3 linked regions of the Stegostoma tigrinum genome follow. The protein of the gene in region 2 interacts with the protein of the main gene of each other region in a pairwise test. Links are inferred from orthologs where the notes say so. Each region holds a gene or a part of one and is shown on either strand. Other genes may lie near its edges. The genes, in order: exosc1, doublesex- and mab-3-related transcription factor 1Y-like and slain1a.

The links.
Region 1: the proteins of doublesex- and mab-3-related transcription factor 1Y-like (region 2) and exosc1 interact in a two-hybrid assay, tested with the Homo sapiens proteins (2 studies listed by BioGRID). The link is inferred for Stegostoma tigrinum from reciprocal best matches to the Homo sapiens genes DMRTB1 and EXOSC1.
Region 3: the proteins of doublesex- and mab-3-related transcription factor 1Y-like (region 2) and slain1a interact in a two-hybrid assay, tested with the Homo sapiens proteins (2 studies listed by BioGRID). The link is inferred for Stegostoma tigrinum from reciprocal best matches to the Homo sapiens genes DMRTB1 and SLAIN1.

The regions. Positions count from the first base shown.
Region 1 is NC_081373.1:12,450,407-12,457,928, forward strand, and holds the start of exosc1 (exosome complex component CSL4), read right to left. Parts: upstream 3,098-7,522; 5' UTR 3,023-3,097; coding exon 2,833-3,022; intron 1-2,832. UniProt on the Homo sapiens protein: Non-catalytic component of the RNA exosome complex which has 3'->5' exoribonuclease activity and participates in a multitude of cellular RNA processing and degradation events.
Region 2 is NC_081361.1:42,266,032-42,273,086, forward strand, and holds the start of doublesex- and mab-3-related transcription factor 1Y-like, read right to left. Parts: upstream 3,089-7,055; 5' UTR 2,977-3,088; intron 1-2,976.
Region 3 is NC_081359.1:28,293,908-28,301,400, reverse strand, and holds the start of slain1a (SLAIN motif-containing protein 1a), read right to left. Parts: upstream 3,099-7,493; coding exon 2,674-3,098; intron 1-2,673. UniProt on the Homo sapiens protein: Microtubule plus-end tracking protein that might be involved in the regulation of cytoplasmic microtubule dynamics, microtubule organization and microtubule elongation.

The sequences.
Region 1 (7,522 bases), on a different chromosome or scaffold from region 2:
ATAATAAGTTGTAAGTAATGCAGTTAACAGATATCCAAAATGGCAGTATTAACAGTGCCCAAGTCAGCGTTACTATTTGATTTATTGTCACATGTAACTTGTTACAAAAATACATTGAAAAGTGGCACCACTCTCTGGGAGCATCTTAAAACAAATAAAAAACCAAACCATAGAATATAAAGGCAGAAAAATGAGAACAAAAAGTGTCTAACTTACAAGGAGATAGCAAGAACTGCAGATGCTGGAGTCAAAGGCAACACAGTGTGGAGTTGGAGGAACACAGCAGGCCAGGGAGCAACGGGGAGCAGGAAAGGTGACATTTTGGGTCAGAACCTTTCTTCAGAAAACTCTCCTTTGAGCTGCTTGACCTGCTGTGTTCCTCCAGCTCCACACTATATTGTCTAATTTATAGTCCTTCTTGTTAAGTGCTTTAACATGGGCCATGGGCCTGGTGACCAGGCACCTCCTTCACCGTGCTGCCACTGCTGCACCAAACGACGCCACTCTTTGGCACCATTTCACCTCCAGCAATGGCACTGCCAAGATGAATCCTAACTGGGCCTTGCCAATAAGGATGCCACCAATGCCTCCCTTTATGCATTGACCTGAACTTGACTCAGCTGCCACCTTGAGTCTGCGTCGACCCACCTCAACATGCAGCTGCTGCCGTCAGGTCTCATGCTGGGCCCAATTCACCTCTGCCGCAGCAGTCATGAATCAGCACTAGGAGCGCCTCCACAATGCACAAGATGCGGGAACACAAACTCGCCTCCAACATTGCTGCCATCAGTCCATACTGCTGGGCCAACCCGTCAGCAATGCTGTTACTGAGCCCAAGCTCTTCAGCAAAAGGGAAATAAGATAAAACTAAAGAGTAAAAAAGAAACAAAAGAGAGAGAAAGAAGACAAAAAAAATGGGAAAGCAGACGGTGTGGATGAACCCTGGGCTCAGAAGCCCTTCTCTTGCATAATCTTACTGGAAGACACAATAATAGGATTCTTACGTAGCTTGACATGGTAAATGCCAACTGGATGTTTTCCCTCATGAGTCTAGGATGAGAAAGCATAGTCACAGGATAAAGAGGCACCAATTTAAGACTGAGACAAGGAGAAATTTCTTTTAGTAGAGGGTTGAGTGTCTTTGGAATTCCCTGCCATAAACAGCTGTGGGGGCAGAGTCCTAGTCACAGTCATGCAGCATGGCAAGAGACCCTTCAGTCTAACCAGTCCACATTGACCATGTTCCCAAACTAAACTAGACCCACCTGCATGTACTTGGCCCTTAACTCTCTGAACTTTTCTTAATCTTATCCAAATGTCTTTTCAATGTTGTAACTATATCTGCAGGTCTAGGCCCAAAATGTCAGCTTTTGTGCTCCTAAGATGCTGCTTGGCCTGCTGTGTTCATCCAGCCCCAAATTTTGTTATCTTACATCCTCTGGCACTTCATTTCACACACAAACAACTCTGTGAATTAAGCTGCCCCTCACGTTCTTTTTAAAACTTTCTCCTCTCACCTCAAAAATATGCTCCCTAATTTTAAAATCCTCCACACTAGGGAAAACAACTTTGCTATTCACCTTACCTTTGTCCCTTAACTATCCTGTATACCTGTGATGCAAATTTCAAAGAATTATATACCTGAATCCCAAGGTCTCCTTGTTCTACAGCACTACCCAGGAGCCCTACCATTAATTGAATAAGTCTTGCCCTTGTTTGTTTTACTAAAATGCAATACCTTGCAGTTATCCAAATTAAACTACATCTGTCACTCCTCAGCCCATTGGCCCAATTGATCAAGATCTCTTTGTAATCTTAGATAACCTTTTCCTCTGTCCATTATGCCACTAATTTTGGTGCCATCCACTAACTTACTAACCATGCCTCCTATATTCTCACCCAAATCATTTATACAAATGTCAAACAAAAGTGGACCCAGTACCAATCCCTGTCGAACCCGTGATCACAAGCATCCAGACCAAAAAAACAACCCTCCACACCACTGTCCATTTCCTACGTTCAATTTTGTATCCAATTGGCAAGTACACCCTGAATTCCATGTGATTCAACTTTACTGATTAGTTTACCATGTGGAATCATATCAAAGGCCTTACTAAAGTCAAAGTAAACAATGTCTACTGCTCTTCCTTGATTAATCTTTCTGATTACTTCCTCAAAAAAAATCAAGTTTGTGAGATGTGATTTCCCTTGCACAAAGCTATGCTCACTCTTCCTGATCATTCACTACCTCTGCAAATGCATGTAAATCCTACTTTTCAGAATCACCTCTAACAACTTACTGGTCTCAAACACGGGTCTATAATTTCCTGGCTTTTCCTTGCAGCCTTTCTTAAATAACGGCAAAACGTTAACCTCCCCCCACTCCTCAGGCACCTCACCTGTGGTTATACATGAGACAAATATTTCTGCTAGGGAGCCCACAATTTCCTCCTCAACTTCCTACAACGTTCTGGGATACGCTTGATCAGATCCCGAAGGCTTATCCACATTTACGTTTTCTAGGACCTACAGCACTTCCTCATCTGTAATGTGAACTGTTTTCAAAAGATCAACATTTATTTCCCTGAGTTCACTAACGTCCATTTCTCAATCCACAGTAAAAACGGTGTATATTTAAGGTTGAGACAGATAGACTTTTGATTAGTAGGGAAAGGATCATTATGGGAATAGAGCAGGCAAGTAGACAGGAGGTGTGTGGGATCAGCCACGATCCTTACGAACGGCGAAGCAAGCTCGAGAGGTCGAAAGGCCTACTCTGTTCCTACTTCTTACACATCCCATCCCTGCTCCGCTCTTGAAGTCTGCCGGTACCTGGGATGCAGAGCTTCAGCGGCGCCATCACAGCTTCACAGAACCGGGGAGAACACGCTGTCGCAGACCCTCGTAGTAAGGGGCGAACGGATTGGCTCGCGCGGACACTGGTAGTAAAGGACGAGCGGATTGGCTGAGGTTGGTTGCTAGGGCCGGGACGGATTCGCGACATCAAATCTCTTCGCCTCATGGCTCTCTCCGGCTTTTATCCTGTTCTCTCTGGGCTTGGTTCAGGATCTCCTCCATACTCCCGTCCCTAACCCGGGTCGGGATCCTGCCCTCGGGTCTTCAATCTCGTCTCCCTGAATTCCCCGGCCCCGAGGCCTTCCCTCCTCATCCCCCCCGTCACAACCCTCCAGTACTGACCTCTCTGTCTCTCCCTGGCTGCTCCTCGTCTGAGAGAAAACAACGAAACTCTCAGCTGACTATGATGTTCATCTCCATTTGTGTCTATTGCTTTATTTGTCAAAGTTTAATACAGTTCACATTGGTCCCCGTACTGTTTCATTTCCATCCAGCACCAGATAAAACAGTGTGGGCTGGCGGGACGTAAACCTCTGAGCAATATCATAGGAAAGTCCTGAGGTTAATATTGTTGAGTAGCTGAAAATTCATTTCAATTCGAGTTTGAAAAAAATGTATCTAAACTAGCACAGGGAAAGTAAGAATTAACAGGCGCTGGAGAGGGGATTTATGATTAAGGGCAAAGAATTGTTTTTTGTTTACTCATCTCTATTTTAAAGTCAATAGTATCAAAGTAAAGTTAAAAGAAGGAAACTAAAGTTTTAGCAAGTAAAATTTCTTAAAAGTATAGGTTAAGATTATGGCAGGACAGATCAGCCAAGTGGAATATGCATGCTGTTGCATGTGTGGACATTCTAAATGACCTTGATGAGCCCATGTGGAGGAAGTGGGGCCACTGCAAGCTTGAGCTCCAGGTTTCAGTGCTCGCAGTGGCTATGGCAGTCTTAGGGAGACAGGCAAAAAGATCCCAAGATCTGCAGATGCTGGTGTCAGAGTCAACACAGTATGGAACTGGAGGCCCACGACATGTCAGGTAGCACCAGAGGAGTAGGAAAGTCGACATTTTGGGTTGGGACCCTTCTTCAGAGCAGTTCCGAAGAAGGATCCTGACTGCTTGAAGGGTTTACGCAGGGGAGTGGGAACCAGCAGAGAACGTTAGAAGGAAATGGCAGAGTACAAAAAGATGCTGGGGGAGGCAGATTGTGTGAGAATAGAAGTAATATGTGGAGTCAACATAATGGAGATGGTAGTGAACCGTAAATTAGGGTTGCTCTGCATGTACGTGCATGGACTGAGTATGGTGAATAAGATTGGGAAGTTACAGGCACATATTTCCATGGTAGATTGTGAAAGTAAAATATTGGAGATCTGGCTCAAGGAAACATAGAAGATAGGAAAAGGAGGAACCCATTCAGCCCTTCGAGCTTGCTCTGCCATCCATCACGATCATGGTTGATCATTCAACTGATCGCCTAATCCTGCTTTCTCTCCATAACCTATGATCCCATTCGCCCCAAGTGCTATATTTACCTGCCTCTTGAATACCTTAAATATTTTAGCATTGGCTATTTCCTGTGGTAATGAATTCCACACGCTCACCACTCTTTGGGTGTAGAAATGTCTCCTCATCTCTGTCCTCAATGGTCTACCTCAAATCAAGACTGTAACCCCTGGATCTGGACACACCCACCATCAGGAGCATTGTCCCTGCTTCTACCCTGTCAAGTCCTGTTAGAATTTTATTAGTCTCTATTGAGATCCCTCTTCATTCATCTGAACTCCAGTGAAAATAATCATAACTTAGTCAATCTCTCCTCATATATCAGACCCAACATCCCCAGAATCAGCTTGGTAAACCTTTGCTGTATTCCTCGAGAGCGAGAGCATCCTTCCTCAGAATCGGCGACCAAAACTGCACACAATATTCTAGTTGTGGCCTCACCAAGGCCCAGTATAACTGCAACAACACATCCCTGCTCCTGTACTTGAAACCTCTTTCAACGAAGGCCAACTTCCCATTTGCCTTCTTTACAATCTGCTGCACTTGCATGCTTGTCTTCAGTGACAAGATGCACAAGGACACCCAGGTCCTGCTGCACACTCCCCTCTCAATTTTCAGCCATTTAGGTAGTAATCTGCCTTCTTGTTTTTACATCCAAAGTGAACAACCTCACATTTATTCAAATTATTCTGCATTTTCCATTCATTTGCCCACTCACCGAACTTGTCCAGATCATGCTGGAGGATCTCTGCATCCTCCTCACAGTTCACCCTCCCACCCAACTTGGTATCGTCTGCAAACTTGGAGATATTACATTTTGTTCCTTTATCCAAATCATTAATATATATTGTGAATAGCTGGGATCCCAGCACTAATCCCTGCAACACCCAGCTAGTTACTGCCTGCCAACCTATCTTCTCCTCTATCCATCTTCAATCGCCTCCCCCTCTCTCCCCATTTATTTCAGAACCCTCTCCCCATCCCCTTTTCTGATGAAGGGTCTAGGCCCGAAACGTAAAAGCTTTTGTGCTCCTAAGATGCTGCTTGGCATACTGTGTTCATCCAGCTCCACACTTTGTTCTCTCAGATCCTCCAGCATCTGCAGTTCCCATTATCTCATTAATTCCTACTGTTTGTTTCCTCTCTGTCAACCTGTTTTCTATCCATCTTAATACACTTCTGCCAATCCCGTGCACATTAATCTTAAACATACAACATTGACTGCCCCCCACCTTGTCAACCCTACTAGTTACATCTTCATAGAATTTCAACAGATTTGCATGACTTCCCTTTCATAAATCTATACTGACTCTGTCCAATTCTGCTACTGCTTTCTAAATGCTCTGCTATAAAGTCCTTAATAATGGATTTGAGAATTTTCCCCACTATAGATGTTAGGCTTCCTGATCTATAATTTCCTGTTTTCTTCTCTACCTCCCTTTTTGATTACTGGAGTGACCTATGGCTCCCCTGCAATCTGCAGGGACTGTTCCAGAGTTTGAAGAATCCTGGAAGATGCCATCAATGCATCCATTATTTCTAGAAAGGGATGGTCTGGGTGCTAAATGTTCTTGGTTACAAGGTATACAAAAAGATTGAAAATATTTAAAAATAAGGGAATATGGAGTCTTTTTCTTAAGGAGAGTCTTGCAATATAGGAGAAGGAGGACATTTCAGAATGTTCAGGGATGGAATTGATTCAGGTGGAACTAAAGAATAAGAAGAGTGCAGTTACGTTGCCCGCTGTGAGCCGTAGACCACTAACTAGTGGGAAGGATCTAGAGTCATAGAGATATACAGCACTGAAGCAGGCCCTGCGGTCCTACTCATCCATGCTGACAAGATATCCTAAATATATCTAGTCTCATTTGCCAGCATTTGGCTCACATCCCTGTAAACCCTTCCAATTCATATACCCATCCAGATAGATTTAAATGTGGTAATTGTACCACTTCCTCTGGCAGCTCATTCCATACATGCAGTACCCTCTGCATAAAAAAGTTTCCCATGAGGTCCCTTTTAAATCTTTCCCCTCTCACCTTAAAGCTATGCCCTCTAGTTTTGGACTCCTCCCACCCCAAGGAAAAGACCTTGTCTATTTACCCTGTCCATTGCCCTCATGATTTTATAAATCTCCATAAGGCCACACCTCAGCCTCCAATGCTCCAGAGGAAAAAGCCCCTGTCCATTCAGCTCTCCCTACAGCTCAAACTCTCCAACCCTGGCAAATGGCTTAAAAATCTCGAGAGAGAAAAATCTGCAAGGACATTGCAGAAATGTATAAGCATAGTTGAATAGCCATTATGGGGGACTTTAATTACCTTTAATGGTTGGACTAGAAACATAGAAAGTAGGAGCAGGAGTAGGCCATTCGAGCCCTTGAGCTTGCTCCACCATTCATCAAGCTCAATACCCTATTCTTCCTGTCTCCTGATATCACTTGATTTCTTCAGCCACAAAAATTCTATCTATCTCCTTGAAATGTTTTCCTCAATCACCTTCTGGGGGTAGTGAAATCCACAGGTGCCTTTCTCTTTGGGTGAAGAAATTTCTCTTTATTTCAGTCCTAAAAGTGTTACACCTTATTCCTAAATGATGACCCCTAGTTATGGACCCCCTACCATCAGGAACATCCTGCATTAAACCCAACTAATTCCATTAGAATTTTATAGGTGTGTATGAGAAATCCCCTCATTGTTCTCAACCAAAGTGAATACGACCTAACTGATTTAATCTCTCCACATGCATCACCTTGCCATCCAAGGAATCAGTTTGGTAAACCATTCCTGCTCCCTCTATAGCATGAACATTCTTCCTCAGAAAAGAAGACCAAAACTGAACACAATATTCCAGGTATGGACTCACCAATGCCCTGTATAATTGCAGCAAGATATTCTTGTTCCTGTATTTGAATTCTCTCATTGTGAAGGCCAAATATATTTTGTCTTCTTTCCTGCGCTTGCACACTTACTTAGGCAACTGGTACACAAAGATATACAGATTTCGTTGAATATTTCCCTCTCTCAATTTACAGCCATTCAAGTAATAATGTGCTTTTATATACTTACTGCCAAAGTAGGTAGCCTCACATTTACCCACACTATGTTGCATTTGCCCAGTCACTCAGCCTTTCAAAATCATACTGCAACATTTTTGCATCCTCCT
Region 2 (7,055 bases):
CCTTCTTCAGAAAAAGGGTCTGAAGAAGGGTCTAGGCCTGAAACTTCAGCTTTCCTGCTACAATGATGCTGCTTGGCCTGCTGTGTTCATCCAGCTCCACACCTTGTTATCTAGGCAAAGTGAGTATTTCTTTTTCAGTTTGAGCATATTGGCTCTATTTTTTTGAAATGTGAAGCCCCTCAAGGAGAAATTGCATTAATTAGGCACTTACACAGTACAGTTTAAAGACATTTGTAATTATAAAATCATAGTTCCACTTGCAGGATACAAACCCTGGCCACAAGCAATTTGGACCATATTGTGGATTATTATATCATAGTCATTTCTATGAAAGAGAAATAATCACACATGACCTGCAGACCACAAAGCACAAAGACAGTCTATGGTCTCAAAGGCACAGAGCTGATTTCTTCTCACTTTGAAGCAAGTGTTTGCCAACAACAACTTACATGCAATGCTGCCTTCCTTAGGTGATGTGGGGTTGGTTCCTGTTGCATACATCAGAATAAGGTCCACTATGTCAAAGGTCTACGTCAAGGCATTTCATGGTCCTCATTGTCAGAATCCACCACATCCCACTGTAAGGAGAACTGTACTAAATTGTCATTATATGTGATGCAAATGCTGACTGCTCACACAGTTCTGTTCTGTTTCTGATATTCCCCAAAGAGGTTCATGGAACCAAGACCAATGGATCCAACCACAGCAGCACAACCAGTACTGCAATTGTAATGCAACAAAGGTGCAGAAAATCAAGGAGAAAAAAATGTGCCAGTAAGCAATCTCCAGCTCCAGTCAAATATTCTCTTTTTGAAGAAGTCACCACTGAAGTTCCCCTCAAGATGCAGAGAAAGGAGGATGTTTTGTGTCTATTGTCCTCAATGTTATTTTCTCTAAATGAGCAGAGTGCACTGCCACCTCTACCTGTGGGCATGCCAGAACACTGTTCTAGGGCACTGAACTGTACCATCTGCTGAAGCAGAACTTGCAACCTGAAGGGATGGATGACCATCGTATCCCAGTGGCCAACAAGGGAACATTAAACATTTATGCACCTAGCAGCTTCCAAGAATCGACAATATGATATCTCTCAATTTCTCAACCCCAAATGTATCAAGGTTGTTACTGATGCAATTTCTTCCAGATCACACATTTCATCTCATTTCCCGTGACAAGATCAATGCTGTAGCCCAGGTGGTAGGCATCGCCAATGTAGCTGGCTTTCGTCAGGTGCATGGCACTATAAACTGTAAACATATTATGCTGAGAGCATCATTATCATAACATGACTGACTTCATCAACAAAAAAGTGTTCTGCTGTACCACTTCTTTGAATTCTGTACTAGGTACCCTGGGAGCTGTCATGATGCCTCTATCTTTGAGAACTTCATGTTTTCACTTCATTTTAAGGGCTGGATACCTTCCAAGGCTGCTACTGAGAGACAAAGGCTAACCCCTACAACCACGGCTAGTGACTCCATTCTGCATCTCCCTGGCTGAGGTCAAATATTGATACAGTGCAACCTATTCTTCCACCAGGGCCATTATGGAGCAGATGACAGGCTACCCAAAAATGAAGCTCCATTGTTTGGATTGGTATAGGGGGCCTTGCAGTTCGTTCCAGACAGACCATGCATATAATCCAAGCATATGCTCTGCACAACGGGAGAAGATGAAAGAGGGGATGTGAGGGGATGTTGAAGAGTTTGGAGTGGGGAATCAGTCTACTGAGGAGGAGGAGATGAGGACATTGAGCAGGTGAAATATCATCTTCAGTGTGATAAAGCAAAGTGGCGTTGGGTACGATAAGTTAGACAAGCCTTAATTGACACCTGCCTTCCAAGAGATGTGAGCTGAGCGATCACTCATTGACTGAAAATTTGCTGTTGCTCAAACTAAGTCACACCCTGTTTGTTCCCAGGAATAAATGCACCTTTTTTCTTTGTTTACTTTTCGTGTTATTCAATAAACATGAATGACTTAAACAGTTTGAAGGCTTTCCAACATGTGAAGCTCCCACATTGAACCATAGAAAAATGCTCTGCTACATTGGGTATTAAGGATAGAGTAGCACTCTGATTCTAGCGTGGCATAGTGCTAAGAATGAGGTAACCTGTGTAGCTTGATTCTTGTAATTGTAGTTACGATCACATCTGATCAGACAGTTAATGATGTAAAATAGTAAAAGTGTTTGCTTCCACTCACAATGAAGTGTTACCATGGCACCTATGTGCCCTCAGAATATTTTCTTTCTCATTTCCTTTCCAATTACAGTGCAGTGAAGGGGTATTTGTGGCTGGCAGTGATTGTCCCGGTAAACAGCTCGTCTCTAAATAGGGCACCGCAGACGGAAATCTTGGCAGTGGAGAGTATTTCCGCCAATGGTGAGCAAGAGTAATGAAAACACAGCACCACAGCATCACGCAGCATCCATACTGAAGTGGGCAGTAGAAAATTGCATGAGATAACTTGCTACAGCTCACGAAGGGAAGCCCTTCATGAAAGTCCTCAAAATTGATCCTTAACTGATTTTTAGTAAAATTGAGCCTGTTGTTTTGAAGTGAGCACTCCCTTTCTGTAATGCAGCTAAACAACCACAAGAGGACAGCACTAACCTTGAAGAAAAATACATTAATCTACTCAGGAAAAAAACACAGGAAACGTGTTAAAATTATAATATGAAACCTGCGTAAAATAAACGATAAAACTGAAAACAATCAATTTAATTCACACCCGATTACACCCTACTCTTTAGCCTTTCTTATCTTGGCTTTTGACTCATTGCGGTTCTCACAGCTTTTGCATTCCATAAACTACAACTTATCCACAACACTGCAGTCCCCATCCTTTCTCACATTTCTATCACCATTATTCCTGTTAATATCCACTGTCTTCTTGCGCAATAAGCTAATAGGATTGTGTTTTATATCCAAATCCCTCTCACGCCACTCGCTCCTGCCCTAAGCTAAAATTTACCTTTCACTGGACTATGATCCACTGAATGAAGCCTGGCTGTTTCTCTCATTGCCATCCCTTGACTGGGATCCTGTCGTGCCTCTACGTCTTCTTAGCCCAGTGTTAAAGCTGAGAACTCTTTTTGTACAGCACAGTGGAAAGCCTTTTGACCCATTATGCCTGAGTCAGCTCTTTGAAAGAATCGTCATTTATTCCTACTCCCTTACTCCTATTGCTCTGTATTTCTTTTTCATTTCATTTATAGAGTTTATACATCCAATTCCCCCTTTTACAGTTACGATTAAAGCAATTGGCAATCATGCGTAAATCAATGGAATCATCCTTCCCTTTCATTTGATTGGACTATGAAGAAGGGAGGTAGCAGATATTTCATCCTGATTTCACTATATGCCATTACATTAAAAAGGTTGGAAACTTGTGGAGCTGAACCTTTGACGATGACATGTCTAAGTTCACTGAACCCTCTCTTAGAAACACTTCGGGGATGCCGCCCACTTTGAATCTGCACTTAGTGAGATACCAAGCAAGTGAACAGAAACAGTCAGATTCTGTCTCACTTGTGCAGCGATGTTGGCATTTCAGCATTCCTCAGTGTCCGGCATAGTTATAGTTAAGTTGGCATGACTTCCGTTCATGAAAGAACTAAATATGTACAGTTGCTTTGCAAAGATTGAGCTGAATTCAGTGATTCCACACTCAAAGTGCAGTTGTCTCAGTTAAAGGGAGTAGGAGTCAAGTCATCAGTGCTGCACTGTATTATGCTTCCATGAAGCAACACCCCTCACTAGCGGTTTCGGTTAAAGTGAACTTACCTTGGAAAATGTATTTAAAACTGTACGTGGCTGCTTCAATGCTGAATAACCAGCAGGGGGAGATGTGTGCAAACAAGATTATTTCTGGATGATCAGTTACAAGACGTTCTTGGCAATGAGTCACAGAACTACCCTCGAGGAAAATGTGTATAGCTAAATTTGAAGCATACAAAAATAATCATTTGGACTGAATGCATTTTGCAAAGCTTTCTCTTTCTCCTAAATCTTCTCCTATTTCTCTCCTCCTCCACAGGAGTTGCATCCCCCAAATATCTCTTATCGGGTAAATAAAATTGAAAGAATTGCAGATGATGTAAATCAGGAACAAAAACAGAAGTTGCTGGAAAAGCTCAGCAGGTCTGGCAGCATCTGTGTAGAAAAAAAATCAGAGTTAAAATTCTGGGTCTGGTGACTGTTCCTCAGAACCGATGAAAATGTTGGTTTATGTGCAGAAGATAGGGAGGGGGGAGGGTGTAGGGAGTAAACAGGATAAAGGGTAGAGCCCAGTAGAGAGCAGAGTAGTTGGATAGACAAAACCGTTGATAACAATCTTGCGAAGAGGGTCAACAGCTGTTAACGGAGACTGTTAGTGCCTAACAATAGATAGTGTGTAATGGCTAGCTATGTGATAACAAGGCCTCAAAATGTGAGGCTGGATGAACACAGCAGGCCAAGCAGCATCTCAGGAGCACAAAAGCTGACGTTTCGGGCCTAGACCCTTCATCATGATGAAGACCCTCTCTGATGAAGGGTCTAGGCCCGAAACGTCAGCTTTTGTGCTCCTGAGATGCTGCTTGGCCTGCTGTGTTCATCCAGCGTCACATTTTATTATCACAGAATGGTTACAAGTGACTATACTTTTATCACTGTTTCAAAACATATTCCACTCTAAATCTTGCTGCAGAGCAGAAAAAAAAGGCAGAAATTTTATAAACTTTGGAGACATGCTTTGAGCATTAAGTGAATGTTACAGAAAAACAACACATATTTAAAATGAGGGAATAATGTACAAACAGATCATTGATTAATATGTACCATCATTAACTCAGCTTGCAGAAACCTATGAATAGTTGCAAAATAAAGATGATCCCCTTAAACAGGATTGTATTAGTCATAAGAGATGCAGAAGTGAAAACACACCAACTGAGACAAGAGAAACTTACATTCCAGAGAGAATTGACAAGTGCAGACGTGCTGAGGCTGTGAATTTGTAGCTTGAGGATATTAATGGCAAAACAAACTAGGTTTCCAGCATTGCACTGATAGATACTCTAGGTAGACAGGACAGAACAATTACAGAAAAATTGCAGTTTGAAAGTACCAGAGAGGACATAATGCAAAGAAGAAGAGGCATGGCCATTGTGGAGAAAGCTGTGTTTTCACTGCAAGAAGCCGAATCATTGTAAACACATGTATGGCTAAAAAGAAGCAAGTGCAGAAGGCCATTGGAGATATGTCAGCTGAAGGTTCTGATGAATCACTCTACATCAGTCAGTAGGTTGATTTAGTCAAGTTATTGAGTGATACATGCTTTGTGACTATGGGAATGAAGACTGCACAAGGAAAACATCAAGTCAACATGAAGTATCAGATAGATATTGGTGCATCATGACCTCATTGACCTGTAGGAAGTGGTTAAATGCGGTGATCCAAAAATTAAGGAAACCCTCAAAATAAGGTTAAGGCTATATCATGGCACCATCATCTTGCCAAGAGGACAGGTTACTTTGTGAATGGTTGCAACAAAATGATCGAGGATCTTGAGTTCCGGATCATAGATAGATAGCATATGACACTTATTTCAACAAGGCAAATTTAAAGCTTGGAGTGATAAGCCTCAATGTACCAAAGACATTTGTCACACGTCACAGTACACTAAACCATTGATGTAGAAGAAATGGCAGAGGAGTACATTGATGTATTTGCAAGGCAAGGCTGTCTTCCAGGAGAATATCACCTTGAAGCAGATGAGAACGGAAAACCAATTCCCGCAAAGCCAGGCTGAAACACAAGAGGGAGGAGCCCGGAAAAAGGGAGTAATCAAGAATCTGACAGCTCCTACAGTGTGGATTGCTGCATTTTGGCAGTGAAACAACCTGGAAAATTGAGAGTATGAATCAACCCAAAGGATTGAAATAGAGCCCTGAAGTGATATCACAACCCATGCTACAGTCAAAGGGATTTTGCCACAACATGCAAATGTGAAAATCTTCATCACCCAAGAAGCAAAGGTTCATGACTGGCAAGTGAAGCTCAATGAAAGGAGCAGTTTTCTAACCGCGTTCGTGATGCCCTTTGAGAGTTACAGTTGGCTACACATACCCTTTACTAAATACCATTACCAAAAGGATATTAAACATAGAACATAGATCAGTACAGCACAGGAATGGGACCTTTGGCTCACGATGTTGTACCAAACATGACGCCAAATTAAACTAATCCCTTCTGCCTGCCATTGATCCATATCCCTCCATTTCCTGCATATTCATGTGCTTATCGGAAAGTCTCTTAACTGTCCCTATCCTTTCTACTTCCACCACTACCCCAGCAGTGTGTTCCATGCTCCTACCACTCTGTGTAAAAAACTTGCCCCTCTCATCTCCTTTAAACTTTTCCCCTCTCACCTTAAACGCATTCCTCAATTTTAAACATTTCAACACTGGGAGAATGGTTCTGACTGTCATTCCTCAGCATCTGCCACTCCAGAGAAAACAACCCAAGTTTTTCTTGCCTCACCTTATAGTTCATTCCCTCCAATCTAGGCAGCATCCTGTAAACCTCTTTTGCACCCTGTCCAAAGCCTCCACACCCTTCCTATAATGTGGCAACCAGAATTGAATGCAGTGTGGCCTAGTGTGGCCTAACCAAAATCTTATAAAGCTGCAACATGAGATCCTGACTTTTGTACTCAATTCTCTGACCAATAAAGGCAAGTATACAATATGCCTTCTTTACCACGCTATCTACTTGCATTACCACTTTCAGGGAGCTATGGACTTGAACCCCAAGATCCCTCTGTACATCAATACTGTTCAGACTTCTGCCATTAACTGTATACTTTGCCTTAACATTTGATCTCCGAAAGTGCAGCACCTCACACTTACCTGGATAAAACTCCATCTACCATTTCTGCACCCATATCTGCAACTGATCTATATCCTGCTGTATCCTTTGACAATCTTCCACACTATCTACAACTCCATGGTCTTTGTAATATCTACAAACTTACTAACCCATTCATCTGCATTTTCACCTAAGTCATTTATG
Region 3 (7,493 bases), on a different chromosome or scaffold from region 2:
ACATATGCTGAAGTTGCACAGGACGTCGGTGAGGTCTCTTCTGGAGCACTGTGTCCAGTTCTGGTTGCCCTGTTACGGAAAGGATACTATTAAGTTGGAGAGGATTCACAAGAGAGTTACCAGAATGTTGTTGGGAATGGAGGGTTAGAGTTATACGGAGAGGCTGGATAGACTGGGACCTTTTTTTCACGTAGGAGGTTGAGGGTGACTTTTAAAAGATTTATAAAATCATGAGGGGTAGAGATAAGGTAAATGACAAGTGTCTTTTTCCTAGGGTGGGTGATTTCAAGACTAGTGGGCATAATTTTAAGGTGACAGTAGAAAGACTTTAAAAAAGACATGAGAGGCAATTTTTTAACGCACAGTGTAGCTTCATGTGCGGAATGAACTTACAGAGGAATTGGTGGATGCGGGTAAGTTACAACTTTTAGAAGACATTTAGATAAGTATGTGAAAAATAAACACTTGGAGGGATTTGGGTCAAGACAGCCTTGAGCAAAGGCTATCCCCCTTCACTTTACTGAGGGCTGCTGACAAGCAAGACAAGCTTCCTGGCTTTATGGCTGTGCTAAAAGGCAAGACAATACACATTACTGTGAGCCTGGTATCTCTAGCTGAGGGGGCAAAGTATACTAAGGCAAGGCAGGGATGTTATGAGCATCCAGGTAGTCACAGAGTGAAGGAGTGCTATGACAAGTAAGGGGACAGGCCAGAGATACAGCCTGGTCCAGTCCACAAAATAGTTGTGTGTCCCTGAGCACACCATTACAATAATAGCTGCTGGTGCCACTCAAGATGCAGCATTAAGTGCAGAAGCAATTGTGGATCGAGGAAGTCCAATGAAGCTTCTCAGAAACTGGGCATGTTAACTGTCAACGTACTTAGATGTGGGGTACATGTGTCCAGTGCCCATGGAGTGTGCACTGTGTTGGTGGTACAGACGTCCTCTGGAACAAACACTGAGCTTAAGTTGCTGTCTTCATTGTGCTTTGTAAGGTAGAATATTAATGAAACCATTTCTGCTATTAATAAGGTACTTTACAAGCTTCAAACTGCCCTAATTTGCCGCTTGCCACTGCCTTTGCAGACACTCTCTTCCCCACTCAACAGATACAATGAGTTGCTCCCAACATCAAGTTGGGCCTCAGCAGACTTCTCACACAATCCGGTCATAAATCTGAACATAACCCATGTCATTCAGGCCACTATGAGATTCCGCTCATGATATTTCAACAACTTTGCATGCTTATTATATTGATGATGCTATAGGGCATTTATGTTAATGTTTGATGACACTGAAGCAACTGAGTGTAGTCACTATTGTGTCTTTGGGGAAAAAAAGCAAGTCAAAACAATACAGGTGTCGACAAAGCAAACTAATGCAAAATACAGGAACAAAACAAAGTTGCTGGAAAAGCCCAGCAGGTCTGGCAGCATCTGTGAAGGAAAAAACAAAGTTAACATTTCGGGTCCAGTGGCCCTTCCTCAGAACTCAAATACAGCGCAAAATACGAGAATGGTTTAGAATCTTCCAGATAAGTATGCAACATCAGTTATTTTTGATCACTGGAATTGAGGGCCGAGAGCTCATTAAAGGATTCCTATATTCTCACTTTCCACTATTTCTAGCATTCTCTAGTCAACCTTAAAATCTGTCCCTGTAGGCTTGTAACTCACAGGAACTGTTAAAATACTATTTTCAAATACAATGACTAGCAAACCACTGCCCACACACAATAATTTTAGGTTATATTTAAATTTTTAATGTAAAAGCTAAACTCGTAAATAACAAATTTGATTTTCACTATGGTTACTGACCTTTTCAGATTAACAATCAAGCAGTATTGAAAGATCAGAAAAATACACTTTAGACCAGCCAACCTAAATCTATGGCAGGGTGAAACTGCTTTATTATTAAACAGAGTCTCATGTCAATTGGCCAATGCCTATAAATTATAACAGGCAAGTGGTGAAAGACAAGAGGTGTACACAGTGTGCACTGGTGACACAAACATAAGGAGAAGTCTTGCGCAATTTAACAAAGTAGAAATGGCAACTTCTTGTCAAATGACGCTGACAGATATAATGAATGGTAAGGAGAAGTTAGGGGGAGGGAGGAAGGGGATGGGAGTGACAGAGAGAGTGAGGATGGGGGTGTGAATACATTGGCCAACTGGGGGGAAGATGAGGAGCAGAATGGGGAAAAGATGAGGAGGAAGACAGAAGAGAAGATTATGAGGATGAAGAAGGAGGACTGGGAAGAAGATGAGGAAGAGGAGGAGGACAGGGAGGAAGAGGGCTGGGGAGATGATGAGGAGGAGGACAGGGGAGAAGAAGATGAGGAGAAGGAAGAGGACAGGGGAGGAGATGAGGAGGAGGAGGACTGGTGAGAAGATAAGGAGGAAGAGGACTGAAGAGGATGAGGAGGATGGGGAGATGAGGAGGAGGAGGACGCCTGGGGAGAAAATGATGATGGGGAGAAGGATGAAGAGAAGATGAGGAGGAGGAAGACTGGGGAGAAAATGAGGAGGACGAGGATGGACAGAAGATGAGGAAAGGTAAAGAAAAGAAGAGGAAACGACACTGAGCTCGCCCACCAGTGTATAATAAAAATGGATATTTTGCAAGCTGGTGACAAAGGCAGTAAAAATGGAGAGACAAATAGAACGATACCAGTTGTCCTCGTTTCCGCTGCAGCCCCCGTTGTCTAGGTCCAGGGTGTCCACTTCGTCGAGGAGCAGCCTGGCCGAGCCACTGGAGCCCAGTGAGCGGGGAGAAGCTTCGCTGGTGCCGGGAGGCTGCCGGCAGTGAGCGGTGGGCGGGTAGTTACTGCTGCTGCCGGTACCGCCAGGGTAAGCTGCCGAGCCCGGGGGAGGTGCAGGGCAGTAAACCGGGCTGCCGGGAGGGTACAGGAGAGCCGTAGGAGAGGAGGAGGAGGAGGTAGCGGCGGCGGCACTGGCCCTGCTCTTCAGCTGCTCGTTCTGCCACTCGAGTTTTCTCACCAGCTCCTGCAGCTTCTTCACCTCCAGCTCGGCACTCACCTTGGAGCTGACATCCCCCGCTGTAGCCCCCATCACCTTCAGCAGAGGCGCCTCCATCCCTTCCCGCCACCACCACCCCCCCCCCCCCCACTCCTCCTCCCAAAATAAAAGCCTCTTCTTGTGATTAAAGCTTCGATGGGGACGAACAGGAGCCGCTGCCTTTCGATCTCCCCCAGTTCCCTGCCTCTCTCTCTCTCCTACACAACAAAGAACAGGCGCATATTGCGACTCAGGTCTGCAAAACCCTCCTCTCCATTACGATCTCTGCCAACACTCACACACCAGCCAGCACTGTATTCCGTCTGTATGTGTTTTTTTTAAAAATGCTATCAGGCGACACCCTTCTTCTACCCCGTTCTCCCCTATCAGTCCGCAATCGATCTTATTGCAAGATTTTTTTTGGGAGGGTGGGGGTGTTATTTCACGAAAGCGCCGCCCATATCAAAGGAGTGTCGTCGCCTGAATGGTAACGGAGACACAACGAACTCCCCCAACACCCCGCCTCCGGATCACTGCCGCATCGTTCTTTATTCAGTTTTTTTTGTGGGTGTCACATGCGATAATCTGTTGCAGTTTTATTGTTGCAAAACTGCGTGTGCTTCAACAGTACATGCGTCCTGCTGTGAGGCTCGCTGTTCTGAAAAAGGATCACTGCACTCGAAACGTTAACTCTCCTATCTCTCCACGGATGCTGGCAGACCTGCTGAGCTCTTCCCATCCATTTCTGTTCTTGTCACCGTGATTTCGACAGCGTCAATTGGGTGTGAAGTTGCACATAGGAAATATACTCAGCGCAAAATATGATCGTGCAAATCATGCATCGTGATACGCAGGTAAAGCATTCCAGCACATGTACACATAGACTGAGTGAGTTGGCCATGGTTTAGTAGGCTGAGTACCTTCTGTGAAGTTGTAAGTCTGTGTGCTAGGAAGAGTACAATAAAACCGTTCTCTAAATGGAGAGAGACTACAGAATGCTGCTGTACATGTGGATAGGTTAGCCTTATGTATGAATCACAAAGAGTCAAGTTCATAGTCTCATAGAAATATGCAGCATGGAAACAAGCCCTTCAGTCCGTGGCACTCATCTGTGCCAATGAGATATCCGAAACTGATCTAGTCCCATTTGCCAGCATTTGGCCCAAATCCCTCTAAACCCATCCAGGTGCCTTTCAAATGTTGTAATTGTACCAGCCTCCACCACCTCCTCTGGCAGCTCATTCCATACACACACCAGCCTCTGCACGAAAAAGTTGCCCCTCAGGTCCCTTTCAAAGCTTTCTCTCTCACCTTAAACCAATACCCTCTAGTTTTGGATTCCCCAAACCTGGGGAAAAAGCTTTGGCTACTCACCCTATCCATGCCCCTAATGATTTTATAAACCTCCATAAGGTCACCCCTCAGCCTCCGATGCTCTAGAGGAAATAGCCCCAACCTTTTCAGCCTCTCCCTATAGCTCAAAAGCTCTAACACTGGCAAATCTTTTCTGAATCCTTTCAAGTTTCACAACAGGTTTCCTTTAGCAGGGAGACCAGAATTGAATGCAGTATTCCAAAACTGCCCTAACCAATGTCCCATGTACACCTGTAACAGAACCTCCCAACTCCTAAACTCAATACACTGACCAATAAAGGCAAACATACCAAACACCTTCTTCATTATCCTATCTACCTGAGCCTCTTCTGCCTGCCAGGCTGATTCCAGTGACGGCAGGTCTGACGTGAGGAGAGATTGACTAGGTTCGGGTTGCTTTCACCGGAGTTCAGACAACTGAGAAAATAATCTCACAGAGACTTATAAAATTCTAACAGGACTAGACAGTGGAGATACAGCGAAGATGTTCCCAATGGTGGGTGTGTCCAGAACCAGGGCCCAAAGTGTGGTGAACCTGTGAAGTTAATTACAACAGGAAGTAGTTGATGCCAAAAAATTGAATGTATTCAAGTGGTGACTAGATATAGTACTTGGGGCGAATAAGATCAAAGGTTATAGGGAGAAAGCAGGATTAGGCTATTGAATTGGACGATCACCCATGATTGTGAAGAATGGCAGAGCAGACCTGAAGGGCAGAATGTCTTCCTCCTGCTCCTATCTTCTATGTTTCTATGTACCAGTGACTCCACTTCCAAGGAACTATGAATCTACACCCCAAGGTCATTTTGGTCGGCCACATTCCACAGGATCTTACCATAAAGTGTATAAGTCATGCCTTGATTTTCCTTTCCAAAATGTAGGACCACACATTTATCTAAATTAAACTTCATCTACCACTCCTTGGCCCATTTGCTCATCTGATCAAGATCCCATTGTACTCTGAAATAGTCTTCTTCACTAGGTACTATGCCACCAATTTTGATGCATCTAGAAACATAATAACCATCCCTCCTATGCTCGCATTCAAATCATTTATATAAATGATGCAGTAAGTAGCTGCAATACAGTAGCAAACTGAACATTAGCCTTTATTGCAAACGAGATGGAATGTCAAAGTCCTGTCCTTATTTGCTGCAACTGTACAGAGACCACACCTCAAGTTCTGCATGCAGTTTTGTTTACAAAAGCTCGGGGGTGGCGGGGTTGGGGATGGTGGTGGATTATGGATTTACTTGTGTTGGAAGCAGTTCAAAAAAGGTTCACTAAGCTGATCCCTGGAATGAAAGGATGGTTGTATGAAGAAATGTTGAGCAGGTTTCACCTATAGCCATTAGAATTTTAAAAATCTGAAGGGTAATCTTATTGTAACATGTACAATCATGAGAAGGGTTTGACAGCATAAATGCTGAGAGGCTGTATACTCTGGCGGAGAATCATAACTGAGTCACACAGGTTAAAATAAAGATATCAGAAGGTTTTTTTATGCTTTGTGAAGGGCCATTGGCAGTTAGAATTCTCTCCCCAGTGAGCAGTGGAGACTGTCATTGAATATATTAAAGGCTGAGTTGGACAAATTTTTAATTAGCACAGAGAAAAAATGGCTATGAAAGACTGGCAGATTATCTATGATTCTGTTCATTAGTGTAACAGCCTACTATGCCAAATGGCATCTTGCTCTTATTTCTTATGTTCTCTTCAGTTCCAAAACTTGGAATTGCCTATACTTGGCAATTAGGGTGATTCCTCTTGGCACCCCTGCATGCTTTATTAATATTCATAGTCAGCTTCAATTTTTGACCAGAGAAATGTGTTTTCTGTGCCTTTATCATAAGTCAGTGCATGGGATCAGGCAGTACGCAGTGTTATGAAGAAGGTGAATGGGAGTTTCACATATGCTCACATGGACCAGAGCACACGTGGCAACATGAGTGACAAACAGAAAAGGATCCCTGTGGAAAATGAATTAAGTTGAAAGCCAGTTTCCAGTGAAATATCCTATGGTTTGCAAACACAACAATTTACTGCCTTGCAGAGAGAGAATTTGCTGTTTCATGCGAAAAAAAAGTGAGTATGGAAAAAAAAATCCACACTGAAGAAAAAAACCTCATCCAAACGCACTGTAAGAGCTGGGACAAGCCGATGATTTGACCTCTATGTATCAGAACAAGTGCTAGAAAATCATTGGAATGATTATACCCTCATATGGACTGTGATGTATACATAAACATTTAAGTGGGTCAAATGAATAGTTAAGTTCAGACCAACAGCTATTTAGTGATATTTCAGATAATGGGAACTGCAGATGCTGGAGAATCCAAGATAACAAAGTGTGGGGCTGGATGAACACAGCAGGCCAAGCAGCATCTTAGGAGCACAAAAGCTGATGTTTCGGGCCAAAGGGTCTAGGCCCGAAACGTCAGCTTTTGTGCTTCTAAGATGTTGCTTGGCCTGCTGTGTTCATCCAGCCGCGCACTTTTTTATCTCAGCTAATTAATGATATAGCAGGTATATGGAACAAACCAATATAGTGATCTGACTAAAGTCCAAGATTGCTCAGAAACTACTAAAGGACGCTAATGTTAAAATGACGGTTAGGGTGATTCATCAAACAGCAGAAGAGTAAGTACCCATCATGTCACATCAGCAACATGGGTGAAATGGCCGTGAACGGAATAATGTCTATCATAATTTTCAAATGTAAATCCTGTAGAAACTCAAATTCTACCATTCTTCTTCTTGAGTGCATTCATATCAATGGCTGGATGAATCGAATAAACTGAATTTGTGGACTGATGGTGTGTTGAATAGCAGTCTGGATGGCCTATGTAAAAAATGCAGTTTATTAATACTGGTCGTGCTCAGATCCTTTATAACCAACGAGTTCCACAGGCGTCTATGAAAATATAGCACCTGTAATGCAGCTTTACCAAGAAGTTTAACGTCCATAGTTCAACCTTTTGATGGATGCCTCAACAAGCTATTCACAGATCATATTGGTGCTGGATGGAATGAGTGATAGTTGTTGGAGAAAAAGGCTTCAGAGGGTGTTGAAATGCATATGTGTGCCCTGCTGATGGT